Linked DNA regions of Mytilus edulis. Each later gene encodes a partner of the first gene's protein in a complex. Links are inferred from orthologs where the notes say so. Each region holds a gene or a part of one and is shown on either strand. Other genes may lie near its edges.

The links.
Region 2: sterol regulatory element-binding protein cleavage-activating protein-like (region 1) and protein TRC8 homolog share a complex: the UniProt entries of both Homo sapiens proteins name them as parts of the SCAP-SREBP complex. The link is inferred for Mytilus edulis from reciprocal best matches to the Homo sapiens genes SCAP and RNF139.

What each region holds. Positions count from the first base shown.
Region 1 is NC_092345.1:82,816,843-82,824,045, forward strand, and holds the start of sterol regulatory element-binding protein cleavage-activating protein-like, read left to right. Parts: upstream 1-4,190; 5' UTR 4,191-4,386; intron 4,387-7,203. UniProt on the Homo sapiens protein: Escort protein required for cholesterol as well as lipid homeostasis.
Region 2 is NC_092347.1:69,540,597-69,548,360, reverse strand, and holds the start of protein TRC8 homolog, read left to right. Parts: upstream 1-4,764; 5' UTR 4,765-4,810; coding exon 4,811-5,000; intron 5,001-7,764. Other genes in the region: RING finger protein 145-like, read right to left, coding at 889-1,057. UniProt on the Homo sapiens protein: E3-ubiquitin ligase; acts as a negative regulator of cell proliferation through mechanisms involving G2/M arrest and cell death.

The DNA of each region.
Region 1 (7,203 bases):
ATTGGGAGATATATACCCCGTATGCAGGTGCGGCTGGAATGTTGCTACTTAGAAATGGAAAGTTCACAATTGGAAAGCTGAAATCATCTCTTTTGTCGTAAAGTTTTGTTTTCAACCGACCCTCATTGTCAATTTCTAGATGTAAGTCAAGATATGAAGCCGACTTAACTGTATCTGTAGTATTCTTTATCTCTAGTTCGATGGGATAGATGCGTTCCACATAGTCACCAAATTTTGAATTGTTTAGTGAAAGAACATCATCTATATAGCGGAAAGTAGAGTTAAAGGATATTGCTAACTTCTTATCTTTCTTCCTAAGAAGTTCCTGCATGAAATCAGCCTCATAATAATAAAGAAACAAGTCGGCAAGTAGAGGGGCACAGTTTGTTCCCATTGGAATGCCGACAGTCTGTTGAAAAACACGTCCTCCGAACGTAACAAATATGTTGTCAATCAATAAATCAAGCATCTTGATAGTATCAGTTTCAGAGAATTTTTTGTTTGAATCGAAAGTTATGTAGCAATGCATGTGCTGTTAATATGTTGCATGCCTATAATCATTTATTAGAGTATACTCATTATATTAATTCTGTGTAATTATGCAATTGGGTACTATATAGGAGTAAGAACTTACCAACATGTGATAGTGTTCCTTCTATATTAGACAACGCTTTAAGCTGGAAATCTTGGTAATTCGCCAAGATAAGAACAAATCCCGAGACTAAAATATATAATTTATAATGACAATCTAACAAAATACAATATGTATATCAAAAAGTGACTTATATCATCAAAGAGTACAGGGTGTAAATATTAAAATTGTGCATGAAGATACAGTAAAAAAATATGAAGAATTGGATAAAACGTTTGATTAATTTAGTACAACTTGATAAATGGCATTTAATATTTTATTGAATACTTGTTAACCTGATTTGAACGTTGTCACTTCAACAGTATCTGTTTTAATTTCTGATTTGTCTGAACCTTCTGCTTCCATCCTAATGTGATATGTCGTATTTCTTTCGAGTTTCGATATAATACAGGAATCGACAGTTCCGTTTAGAGTTACTGACACATACGCATTATCATCTTCCGTAACAGGTTTATGGAACACTGTGTAAGATTCAACTTCGCCAAACTGTAAATTATCCCATCGTACCTCTATTTCAGTTGGAGATAAAGCATAAACTGCCACTGCATCTCTTGCTAGGACTGCAAAACATTGAATTTTCACAAATGAGTTAATTATTTAGATTGGAATAAAAAAAAATATTATATAATACCCCAATCGCATTGAAATGCAGACCTTTTGCAAACGTTTCTCATACAAGAGTCTAAACCCACCCTCAAAACATTAAGTTTGAATTTTTTATGCCAAGTAGTATCGTTTCGGCCTGCAAATGTGTAAATGTATATTTCAGAAAAACAAATTTCTAAGATACTGAAAAGTCTGTCTGTCTTTACAGTGTTGTTAATTCCTTTAAAGATAGTCAATAAGTTATCTACTAAAAATGGGTACTTTCAAGCATTTATGTCATAAAGAATATATGTTTTTCGTCCTATCATTTTTGTGTCGATTACACAACGGTACTAATATAAGATGGTATTATACGAAGATGTTGTTATTAAATTGTGTTGACAAATATTTTGGCTAAGCAAATAGCCTTCGTCAGTGTCGATTATTATAAATATATATATATACAACTCGTCTAAACAGCAACCCAACAACGTTAGATCTGTAAATTTGCTTTCGCAAATTTTTGTTCTTCCCTCGTCGGGATATATACATATATATATCTTAATATTAAACTTACGTATTTGTTAGTATATTCTTACTTCTAGTTTCTTTGAAGTCAGTGTCAGTTTGAAGTCGTTGTATGTCATTCTGAAGAGCCTCGATCTCTTCCAGCAATTTTTTATTTGAAAAATCATCTTTTTGTATCTTTAGCGCTTCTAGTCTTTCAGATAATTCATCGATGGTCAACTCGTCTATTAGTTCTTGGTTTGTTAAATCTGTCTCGCTTATATGTTCATCGTCTAGACTTTTGGTGCCGTGACCAGGAGAAATTAAAAGAAACAGACGAGTATCATTTTTATTATTCAGGAGATATGTTTTTTTCAATCTTTTCAAAAACTTCTAATCACGAAAGTAATTGTGTTATATAACAAAATGAAAATGTGAATGTTTCAGAGTAAATGGTTCTTTATTTTCAAATGTATCATCAGTTAGAATACCGTTTCACATTGTGGTTATTCGAAACCATTACAATACCAAGAATGATTCTGTTTATCGAAATATCTATATAAATTAAGCATATTTGAGATTATTTTTTGTTTTTATATTCTAAATTCACGGTATTAAATGCTTACTTAATACTCTCTTCTTTTGCTTTTCATGGATCTTTATCTCATTTTGAAGTTTATTTATTTCTTTAAGTAATTGCTGCTGTGATAAAAGTTCTTTTTCTTGTTCCAGCTTTTGTAGTGTTTTCAGTAACTCATCATCTGTAAAATTCTCCAGTTCACTAACGTCAATCGTGTCTGACGTCTCCTCTTTTGTGATAGTATTCATTATCGGCGTAGACATTATTTTTCATCTGAGAAAATCTGAAAAATGTTACCGTATTTTTTTTTTTTTGCTTTTAAAATACAAGTCAATTACTTCGTAAAATTTATCGTATTCCGTGTCGTGCTTTTTAACAAAACTGTTTCTAAAGAAGATTGCAGTTAACTAACATATCGTACATAATGATGTGTTTGTTACTGTTACGATATTAACTTTCACTGATGTTACATATATGCCCAATGTGAAACCTTGACAGTTCTTTGCACCTAAATAATGAAATTTTACCTGTTTTTAACATTATAGATTTTCGTTACCTGTTTTTGATAGTATACACTTCCGTTCGACATGTTGTTTAAACAATAAAAGTATTGTTGAGTCGCTGAATTAAATGTTCCAAATGATTGCATGCAACTATATATTTAGCATATTATAACTATATAATACTGAAATTATAATTACCTTTAAAAAATATTGAAACAAGCAGAGTGAAGAAAAACTATCATATTTTAAAAATGTATGTCTAGATTTATTTTAGTCCCTCAATTTTTTACATTATATTTTTTCAGTTGGTTTTGTTGTTTTTTATGGATGTATATATTCAGCTTAGATTAAAATTGAACAAAAATCGACTTCAGCTGTTGATAAGTAATGAATTTGAATTGTTTAATCAAAACCCATTTGTTTTTCCACTTTTACTGTTTGTTTTATTTATTCTGACCTAGTGGTCCTTAAAGTATAAAAGCCTCCTTTTCGTAATTTTATATATTTTGTATTCCAAATTTTATATAATGGTAGTGTCCAGTGTGTGCACCACTTATTGCAGACCTGTTTCTGTATTGTTGTGAGTTAAAATTTATTTATTAAAATCAGCAAAGACCCATCGAAACTACGTCTGATACAAAAATTAAATGATACTTTTAGATATTTGGATTATATATTTGTTCTCAATAATGACGAGATTTATCCTGTAGAACTAACTTTAAATGAAAATAGTGCTAACAATGTACACTGCCCTTTCCTGGATCTTGATATCTATATCATTAACGAGAAGCTTAAAACCAAAATGTATGATAAAAGTGAATGATTTTTCATTTCCTATTGTTAATTTGTGCCGAAATTTAGTCTCATTTTCAAAAATAATCATATTTGTTATAAAAATATAATTTAACGGCATATTTCTTCCATTTCAACCATCCTTTGAAGTTTTTACACCTCAAAATCATAAAACGGCGAATATGAGCGCCCCACTCTAACAGAAATTGATATGTACATGAATTTTCCTATATATTTGTTTCCCCAATTTCACATTCAAAGAGTTTTTTTTTATGGCACGATTGCAGCAAATATATTTGCGATCGTGACTTCAAAGCACCATATTTGATTGAATTATAAAACTTTGTCTTTAAAAGATGTTGCAGTAGCTCAAACAAAATACCCCCCGCCCCGGATAATTTGACTACATTTTAATTCACGATATTCGTCAGAACATATACAACCCTTTCTCTTTTTAAATGTTTAGTATCCACTTGCCTAGATACAACAATATGTTTAGTATTAGTTTTTCAACCAAATTCAAACGATGAATCATGTCGTACGATACAAATGACGCAATATTGGTCAAAATTTGGCGGGAATTATTAACTCCCTTGCGTAGAAAATTTATTTCAGGAAGGATAACTCAAATTCAGCGGAAGTCAACTTCTTCAGGCGGTGCTGAAAATGAAAACACAGTAAAGAAAGCGGATCAAACAAGCATTTCTACTAGTTTGCCAGTGTTTGGTATCTATTTGAAACATGTTACCAAAGGGTTAAAAACTGATGTACGTATTTCAATTAGTAGAATACACAATAATTTCAAAACACACCTATACTAGATGAACGAATTTTATAAAATGAAGGGTCTCACATTTTATAAAAAATATATTTTCGCCTTATCATTAAAAATTATATCACAATATGCGTAATGTGAGGTGGTACTGTAGATTGTCTCTTTATTTCATTCCTTGAAGAAACCATGCATAAAAATAGGATCTGATATAGAAATAATTTGATTCAAATAAACCTGATTTTTGAAATAAGGACAAATGTATCTACATTGTATGGGTATCGTCGTGTCATATGTTTTTGTATGTCATATGTTTTCGTATCAACCACATTTCGTCGGTTTCGACTGCATACGCGTACATTGTGGCATGTTTTTCTGTTTCTATATTTAGAACAACAACACCACTACAACTTGATATATTTAAAACATATTCAACGTCGCTTTTTAAAGACGTTAGAACAAATTAAATAAAACTGACCTATTTAGCCATTTTTATTTAATGTCAAAAATACGCATCACTAGAATAGTTGTGGAAAAAAATTCTGAAGGGTTAAAATAAAGTCCAGATATGTTTTTTGCAAGTCAGACACCGGATCTTCAAGACATATGACTGTCATGTGTTTTTTTGGCCGTTTTAATTACAAACCATCGAGTTAAAATTAGCAGGGTTTTTATATAAAATGGTTGTTCAAAATCCAACTATTTAATATTTCATTGAAATTTTTAGATTTTGATTAATTTTCAGATTGGCACCTGGTTTGTACAAAATACATTATTTTTTCTAAAATAAAATGCAGTTTTCAAAATTTATGATTAAATATAAAAAGTTAAGACTGTTTTCATCTTCATGTATCAAGGATGTATAAAAAAAACATAGAGAGAACTCAACATCTATGTCATCATTGCTTATCACATGGATCAAATTCTATTGAAGATGAGACCCATTTTACAGTAAATTGTCCATTATATGATGAACAGAGGAAATTATTATATGATAAAGCTACAACTTTTTGTACTAATTTTAAAGAACTACCTAATGATAAGAAATATTTCTGGCTGTTCACAAATGAGCATTTACCAACTCTCATGTGCCTAGGAAATTACATTATTAAAGGGTTAGAAATAAGATCCAGATGTAAACAAAATATATGAAGTAATTTAGTATTTTATTGTTATAAGATTTAATATAATAGTTATATAAAACACATGTTGTGTTAGGCTCTGATCCTGTTCATAACGTTAAAGTATGTATTAAACAGTGTATTAAAAAATGTTAGAATTATTATTAAATTGGAATTTAGGTAAATTTGTGCTAGGGACATTTTTCATGCCTCACATGTATTCAAAAGAGAATATACAAATGAGTCATGTCAACATCATATCCATACTGTAAATAATTACTGAGTTTTGTTGTTGATTTATGACTTGCCGTTATGTAGGTGGATGCAGCTTATCTATTACTGCCTACAGTTGTGTCATATACCTTTATAATGAAGTTAGTTAGATGAAGCTGTATTATGTACAGGGTTAGTTGACTGAGGCCGTGCTGTGCACAGGGTTAGTTGACTGAGGCCGTGCTGTGCACAGGGTTAGTTGACTGAGGCCGTGCCATGCACAGGGTTAGTTGACTGAGGCCGTGCTGTGCACAGGGTTAGTTGACTGAGGCCGTGCCATGCACAGGGTTAGTTGACTGAGGCCGTGCTGTGCACAGGATTAGTTGACCGAGGCTGTGCTATGCGCAGGGTTAGTTGACTGAGGCCGTGCTGTGCACAGGGTTAGTTGACTGAGGCCGTGCCATGCACAGGGTTAGTTGACTAAGGCCGTGCCATGCACAGGGTTAGTTGACTGAGGCCGTGCTGTGCACAGGGTTAGTTGACTGAGGCTGTGCCATGCACAGGGTTAGTTGACTGAGGCCGTGCCCTGCACAGGGTTAGTTGACTGAGGCCGTGCTGTGCACAGGGTTAGTTGACTAAGGCCGTGCCAGGCACAGGGTTAGTTGACTGACTGAGGCCGTGCTGTGCACAGGGTTATTTGACTGAGGCTGTGCAGTGAACTGGGTTAGTTGACTAAGACTATGCTGTGCACAGGGTTAGTTTACTGAGGCTGTGATGTGCACAGGGTTAGTTGACTTAGTCTGTGCAAACTGGTATGTGTATACATGTGTCATTTTTGTGAAGCAATGATCTTTACAATGCTTTAAAATATTTGCCTTCTTAATGTTTTTGTTTCTAGTTTGTATACTTTCTCTTCTGTCAATAGCATTATTAAATCAGATACATAATATTCTGAAGTCATATTTAGCTCCTCTCAAACAAACAACTTTGTATGTCTGCAAATTTATTTTTATGCATTTTCAGATTTGCATTATTTCTGTTACTTTATGTCACTTGCCACTGTAATGCTAGCATGGTGAATGTATTTTGCTTTCAACAAATGGGTCACTAGCTAGTCATTTTAAATACTTAGAACAGTTAAGAGTTCTGGCTATATAGCTAGCTCTTCAATTTGAAGATCAAAATATGGAGATGGGGTATTAATTCGCCGTTTCAGAATCTAATGCATCCTGGGTAATATTTCCAAAAGTGTACAGCAAAACGTCATGATTGGTTAAAAATGTCATAAACAATGAAAATTTAACCAATGACGTGACGTTATTTTCACTTTGGGGTACGAACAATGAAATTACCCATGATGCTTTAGATTCTGAAACGGCCAATTACAATGTTTGAGACAACTATTATATTCATAATGCTTTCTTCAATATACAGTTCTGTTTAACATAATAATTTCTTATGGATACATTACACAGTAC
Region 2 (7,764 bases), on another chromosome or scaffold:
TTGCAGATATGAGGATGATTCTTAAATAATCATTTCCAAATGGTGAAGTTGAAAACATCTCTATATTATATATATGTTAATTTTACGGACGCCATCACAAGTTGGTTGACCGTTATGGAATATACCTTTCACAGATGATATCTGATATGTTCCTTATGTAGTAACTACAATCCAATTCCCTTTTCACAAATGTGACCTACTGAATAAATCTATTTACCCGATTTGAAATAATGTGAGCAACACGACAGGTGCAACATGTGGAGCAGGATTGGCTTATCCTTCTGGAGCACCTGATATCACCCCCAGTTTTTAGTGGGGTTTGTGGAGTTAAGTCTTTAGTTTTCTATGATGTGTCTTGTGTACTATTTTGTGGCTGTTCGTCTTTTGTATTTTTAGCCATGCGTTGTCAGTTTATGTTTGATCTATGAGGTTGAATGTCCCACTGCTATCTTTCGCCCCTCTATTTAAAATGACATTAAAATAATATCTATAATAAAAAACAAACAATTGAAACTCCCCATATGGCCTTCAAAGTTAAGTGTGATTTTTCAACAGTACACAGTGTTAATGTGGAAGTATTTTTTTTAGTTTCTGCTGTTGACAGTTACATTTTGTAGTTTCTCCACTGAAGATGATTCAATTTTAGAATTTAAAATCTTAAATCTAACTATTGAGAGTAATGAAAAAATGAACTTCATTAGCAAAAATATTGTCATGTCATGACTAATGATAAACAAGGACTATGTTGCCAACTAATTTACCAATTAACAACTTAAAAAAATACCAACCAATAAAACAACTGGGGAAGAACAATATCATATGAAAGTAAAATAAATGATATGCTTTCTAGCTTAAGGGTTGCATCAAGCTGGTATTTTAAATACTTACTTAGATAATAAATAACTGTGATGATAAAAGTAACATCATCAGGTTGATTTGTCAAATTTTCTGGACTATTTCTGAACCATAACTCTGCCAAAACCAACGATGGAATCCTCAGAATAACTCCAACTACAGCCTCAACTTGTTCTCTCTGAACCTTCACCTGCCACATCATCAAATCTAGAATAAAATAACTAAGTTAAATAGTTACATTTGTTACCTTATATCTTACTTATAAGCATGATAAGGTCTTGTATTTACAAAATTATTTCAGTTGTTTTTTTTGTTAAACAGGCTTATCGTGTGATAAAATTTGAATAAGGACAATAAATTATTAATTACAAATGTCACTTATTCAAGTAGAGAATAAGAGGGACTGTATCAAGTTTTAACAAGTATGTAGCAAAATATTCATTTTTTTATTATGGGTAATACGGATACAACTAGAGGCTCCAAAGAGCCTGTGTCGCTCACCTTGGTCTATGTGAATATTAAACAAAGGACGCAGATGGATTCATGACAAAATTGTGTTTTGGTGATGGTGATGTGTTTGTAAATCTTACTTTACTGAACATTCTTGCTGCTTACAATTATCTCTATCTATAATGAACTTGGCCCAGTAGTTTCAGAGGAGAAGATTTTTGTAAAAGATAACTAAGATTTACGAAAAATGGTTCAAAATTGACTATAAAGGGCAATAACTCCTAAAGGGGTCAACTGACCATTTCAGTCATGTTGACTTATTTGTAAATCTTACTTTGCTGAACATTATTGCTGTTTACAGTTTATCTCTATCTATAATAATATTCAAGATAATAACCAAAAACAGCAAAATTTCCTTAAAATTACCAATTCAGGGGCAGCAACCCAATAACAGGTCGTCCGATTCATCTGAAAATTTCAGGGCAGATAGATCTTGACCTGATAAACAATTTTACCCCATGTCAGATTTGCTCTAAATGCTTTGATTTTTGAGTTATAAGCCAAAAACTGAATTTTACCCCTATGTTCTATTTTTAGCCGTGGCGGCCATCTTGGTTGGTTGACCGGGTCACGCCACACATTTTTTAAACTAGATACCCCAATGATGATTGTGGCCAAGTTTGGTTTAATTTGGCACAGTGGTTTCAGAGGAGAAGATTTTTGTAATAGATTACTAAGATTTACAAAAAATGGTTAAAAATTGACTATAAAGGGCAATAACTCCTAAAGGGGTCAACTGACCATTTCAGTCATGTTGACTTATTTGTAAATCTTACTTTGCTGAACATTATTGCTGTTTACAGTTTATCTCTATCTATAATAATATTCAAGATAAATAACCAAAAACAGCAAAATTTCCTTAAAATTACCAATTCAGGGGCAGCAACCCAACAACAGGTTGTCCGATTCATCTGTAAATTTCAGGGCAGATAGATCTTGACCTGATAATCATTTTTACCCCGTCAGATTTGCTCTAAATGCTTTGGTTTTTGAGTTATAAGCCAAAAACTGAATTTTACCCCTATGTTCTATTTTTAGCTGTGGCGGCCATCTTGGTTGGTTGGCCGGGTCACGCCACACATTTTTTAAACTAGATACCCCAATTGTGATTGTGGCCAAGTATGGTTTAATTTGGCCCAGTAGTTTCAGAGAAGAAGATTTTTGTAAAAGATTACTAAGATTTACGAAAAATGGTTAAAAATTGACTATAAAGGGCAATAACTCCTAAAGGGGTCAACTGACCTTTTCGGTCATGTTGACTTATTTGTAAATCTTACTTTGCTGAACATTATTGCTGTTTACAGTTTATCTCTATCTATAATAATATTCAAGATAATAACCAAAAACTGCAAAATTTCCTTAAAATTACCAATTCAGGGGCAGCAACCCAACAACAGGTCGTCCGATTCATCTGAAAATTTCAGGGCAGATAGATCTTGACCTGATAAACAATTTTACCCCATGTCAGATTTGCTCTAAATGCTTTGGTTTTTGAGTTATAAGCCAAAAACTGCATTTTACCCCTATGTTCTATTTTTAGCCATGGCGGCCATCTTGGTTGGTTGGCCGGGTCACGCCACACATTTTTTAAACTAGATACCCCAATGATGATTGTGGCCAAGTTTGGTTTAATTTGGCCCAGTAGTTTCAGAGGAGAAGATTTTTGTAAAAGTTAACGACGACGGACGACGACGACGGACGACGGACGACGGACGACAGACGACGACGACGGACGCCGGACGCAAAGTGATGGGAAAAGCTCACTTGGCCCTTCGGGCCAGGTGAGCTAAAAATAAAAGTCAACACTGCAGTCCTTAATAATTTTCAATATTATTAATTGGAGTGTTTCATTTTGATTTGTTGTTTTTTTGTGTCAATACTGATTAAGGACCACATCTTTTTTTTTAATCAACAGGGAGGATACATGTTGTCATGCTTACAATATTTTCAATTTACTCTTTTAAGCTAGATCCTATAGTTTTTGAAACAAAAGTAAATGTAAAAACTTTAAAAACTTTAAAAATTCAGGGGCAATAACTCCAAAATAGGTGTTAATATTTCAAAATTATTCATGGTAGATTATAATATTAGAACTTGTGGTAATGTGCTTAACAGTACTATTTCTCGAATTGTTTTAATTCGTAAATATTAGCCTAGACTATTCTTTGGCCCTATGACAGTCATCTGATGATGTTCATGTTGGTTCATCAAAAATCACAAACTAAGAAGAAGCAGAAAAACTCTGGTTTAAATCCATTGAAGTTTCAGAGAAGACTATTAAAGAAAAGTTTATGTATGACAAAAGGATGCAAAGTAATGGCAACAGGTTAACTTGCTCAAAAAAGATAACAGAAATATCAATCAAAATAATTTGACAAAACTAAGACCCCACCTGCTACCAGGAAAAATTTAAATAATAACAGTTGCAAAAATAGAATGGGTAGTTTCTGCAATGTATGTTGATAGGTATGAAGGATGGGAAATTTGAACTCTATATGGTAATGCACTTAAATGCAGTTTTCAAAAGTGGAAGCTAGGTCATATGAGTTCAGTGGACCGTGAAATTCGGGTAAAATCTCTAATTTGGCATTAAAATTAGAAAGATCATATCATAGGGAACATGTGTGCCAAGTTTGAAGTCAATTGGACTTCAACTTCATCAAAAACTACCTTGACCAAAAACTTTAACCTGAAGCGGGACAGACGGACGAACGGACGGACGAACGGACAGACGAACAGACGCACAGACCAGAAAACATAATGCCCCTCTACTATCGTAGGTGGGGCATAAAAATATCATAACGACCTATAAGGAGCTATCAGGATCACAGCTACCCCAGCATAAAATTGTTTAGTCACAATAGTTATGAAGGTGTCACAGACAAAAAATAAAATAGCCTTTCAAAATTATTTGGGCTTAGAAAAGTTAAGAATAAATTCAACATTGATTATAAAAGAGAAGTTATTGGGTCTTCCAGGAATATAGGACTAAATCCATGGGGACAATGCCAGCTGTCAGCTAGTTTCAACATTTTACAAGCACTGTCATTTTGGTATTTGATATGAAACAAAATCATATGATATAATGTAGGAATTTTAAACTATTTACTGTTGTTATATTATGGCCTAAGGATACTTTCAGGTGGTTGAAATTCTGCTGTCTGCTTTGATCTATAATTTACATTAATATACAAAACAAATGACGGATGAGGACCTGTTTATCTTTTGTATTCATTTTTTATTCTAACCTCAATTTTGTAAAACAAACTAATCTTCTTTTAAAAATTAACATTGATAAACAACTGTTTCATCTTAAGAACATAGTGAGTGATCTGATTTGATTACAAGCAGCCTGGATTAATAAATAGTGTTGTCTTCTAAGTGCTGCAAATCATCACTACAACGAGCAAGAAAACACCGGAAGTTAATATTTGACAGATCGATCATGTCGTATTTCGGAAAATTTAAACATTTTTCCAATGTTTTGATACGAATACCACCTCTATTTATTATTGATAGTTTGTTGAATGGTTCATTGTTGAAAGTTGTATACCAGAGTGTTCATCCAGAGTATAGTTTGTATCCAATAACCACATGGACACAGTTGTTTCAATGGCTAGCTACGTCTTTCACCAGTGCGTACAACTTGATACTGTTATACAATGTTTATACAGTTGCAATACAATGTCAACTAGTTATCTATTGTTTGTTTTTTTTTTTTTTTTTAAAGATATTTTCATACATCCCTTGTTTCTTTTGAAAATACTTCAAGGAAAAAATCACTTTGGAGATAAGTAAACATCTTTTAAAAATATGTTCAAGTTTAAAAGCTTTCTTTCAAGGCAGTGTCTGTGGGTAAGAATAGTCAAATTGCCATTCGTAGTCTATGCATACCCACATCCGGTGTTATAATAAAATACCATCGGATCGGAAATGAAATGTGCACAATAATTTTCAATAATATGGGGATTTCATGTACAACGAGTGAAGTGAATGAAAAATAATATTTTCAAATTGTATTTATTAGATAATAATACACAATAAACATTGCAAATTAAATGTACACTGAAGAAAAATGAAACTATACAGTCCCTGTAAAAGAAAAACATGATAAAAATTAATACATGTACATGTAATACTAGTATAAAACATGTAAAATGTAATTGCAAATTTAAAGAATTAAATTTTACTGGATTTAGAAAATATCCATATGAGATTTTAAAATAATCTTTAAGTAAAAATGTAAAACAAAAATGGAAATTTAAAAACTACTTAAATTAAAGCTTGGATGTCTATATAAAAATTAAAGAAGCAAGCAATAATATTTAATAATGTCAAATTAAACCAATTTTGTCCATCTTTAAATTAGTCACGCCAAGTCTAAAGTAGTCCGTGCCTAATTTCAATGTTTGTAGTTTGATATCTATTTATATATTGAGCAGTTATCTCATCTTATTAAAAACATTTATCATTTATATGTTTTGTAGTTTAGTGTGATTTTCCATTTTCTTTGAACTACTCAACTAGTACACATTTTGTCATGGGCCAGGCGAATCCTGCCTCTGTGTGTAGGATTTTCTTGCTGTGTTGAAGACCCATTGGTGGCCTTGGTTGCTTTCTGCTCTTTGGTTGAGTTGTTGTCTCTTTGACATATTCCCCATTTGATTTTCTATTCTCAATTTTATTTAAAACAAAGAAATACATAATAAAAGCAAGTCGTTACATAACATGATTAAATATAAGCATTCATGAAAGTAAATACAATATAAATGACATTATAAAGTTCACTTTGTATTTCTATGCTCAAATATTAGATTAGAAAAGTAAGCAATCATAGGTTGTATACAAAATGTATATATTTCAGTTATTTATGTTGAACATCTTCTTGCCTTTTAATCCAATCAGGAATGGTGTTTATTTAAGGTGGTTCATTGCATGGTTATATTACATGTATATATATAGATTTCCTCGATAATAGTTCTTCTTCTTCACCAGATTGTATATTTTTCGCATTTCCATGATTTTTTCAAAAATGTTATTAAAAGAATGGGTCATGTCCTGTTTTTCAAGCTACAAATCTTTTAAAGTTGCCCAAATTTGCAAAGATTGTTTGTGACAAAACACTTGTTTTGTTAATTGAAAGAAAGTTGTGAGATAAAATTTTGGAAATAACTTATAACTTGATAGGTTTTAAAATATATGCTTTAAGAAAATAAAAAGAAAAAATAGTGTCACCTTTTTTTCTTGCTAAAAGAAAAAAATGAAAATTTCTCCAACATTCACTGTCATTCCTTGATTAAAAAAATATTCAACATTTGAGTTATCTCCCCATAAAAGGCTAAGTTGACAATTTGTATAGAACAAACACAAACATTTGGTATTTGATTAGATCAATCTATATACATTGTAATGCAATAATTATAAATTACTTGTTTTTCTTTAATCAAAATATTAAAATGTTCTCTTTCTTAATTTTTTCTCCCTCAGCTGCTTAATCATGTTAATGGTGACCTCTATTTTTGTCACACTTGCAACACACAGAAAGCTGTCTAAGTAACTGTTATTCTGAATTGATTATAAGCAATAAGGTGTGTACGGTTCCTGTCTCATTAATGTATAGGCCATGTCTTCTTTTATTCAGATTTACTAAAAACACCATCAACTCTGTCTTTGACAACTAATTTTGAAAAAGATATAAAGGAGTACTACAATAATAGGACTAATTTAGTTTTTGAACAGCCACATTTGTGCTTGCGTGCATGTACCTGATAGGGTTCATCTGATCGTGACCTTATTTACAAACATTAATGATAATGTATTTAGTATATATATACTAGAACACACCTGTGATATCGCGGGTCCGTGGATGAATTAAAGTATATATCTATGCGTAAGCCTTATTTTAGTATTGGTATTGTCATCTGATAAAGTCATGTCAATTATAAGATACACAGTTTTCTCTGCTTTCAAAATCTTTGTTTGAACCCGTCAACCTGGAACTTATCAATTATTGGTAATATTAATTATTTGGAAAACAAAAGGTCCTGGAATGGAGTATTTTTTAATCAACAGTATTGTCCTATATTAGTTATAAATAAGGTTGAGTTCTTTTATTCGCTGTTTTACATCATGCCCGTTCAAAAATTGAAAACTGTACCTATATATACGCATTATCATAAAAGTCCAGATTTTTAGTATTCATATTGTTATGTAAGAAAGTCTTACTGATTAAAATACTACAATAGGGAACAATTTGACAATGATTGAATTTAGAAGGGTCAACCCTGTGATTATGACCCGTGTATAAAGCAAATCCTAAATACATCGTTTGGTGGTGCGCCTTTCAGATGCGGAACGTACAGATAAGATAAGGTAATAGGTAACAGGTGAATATACTAT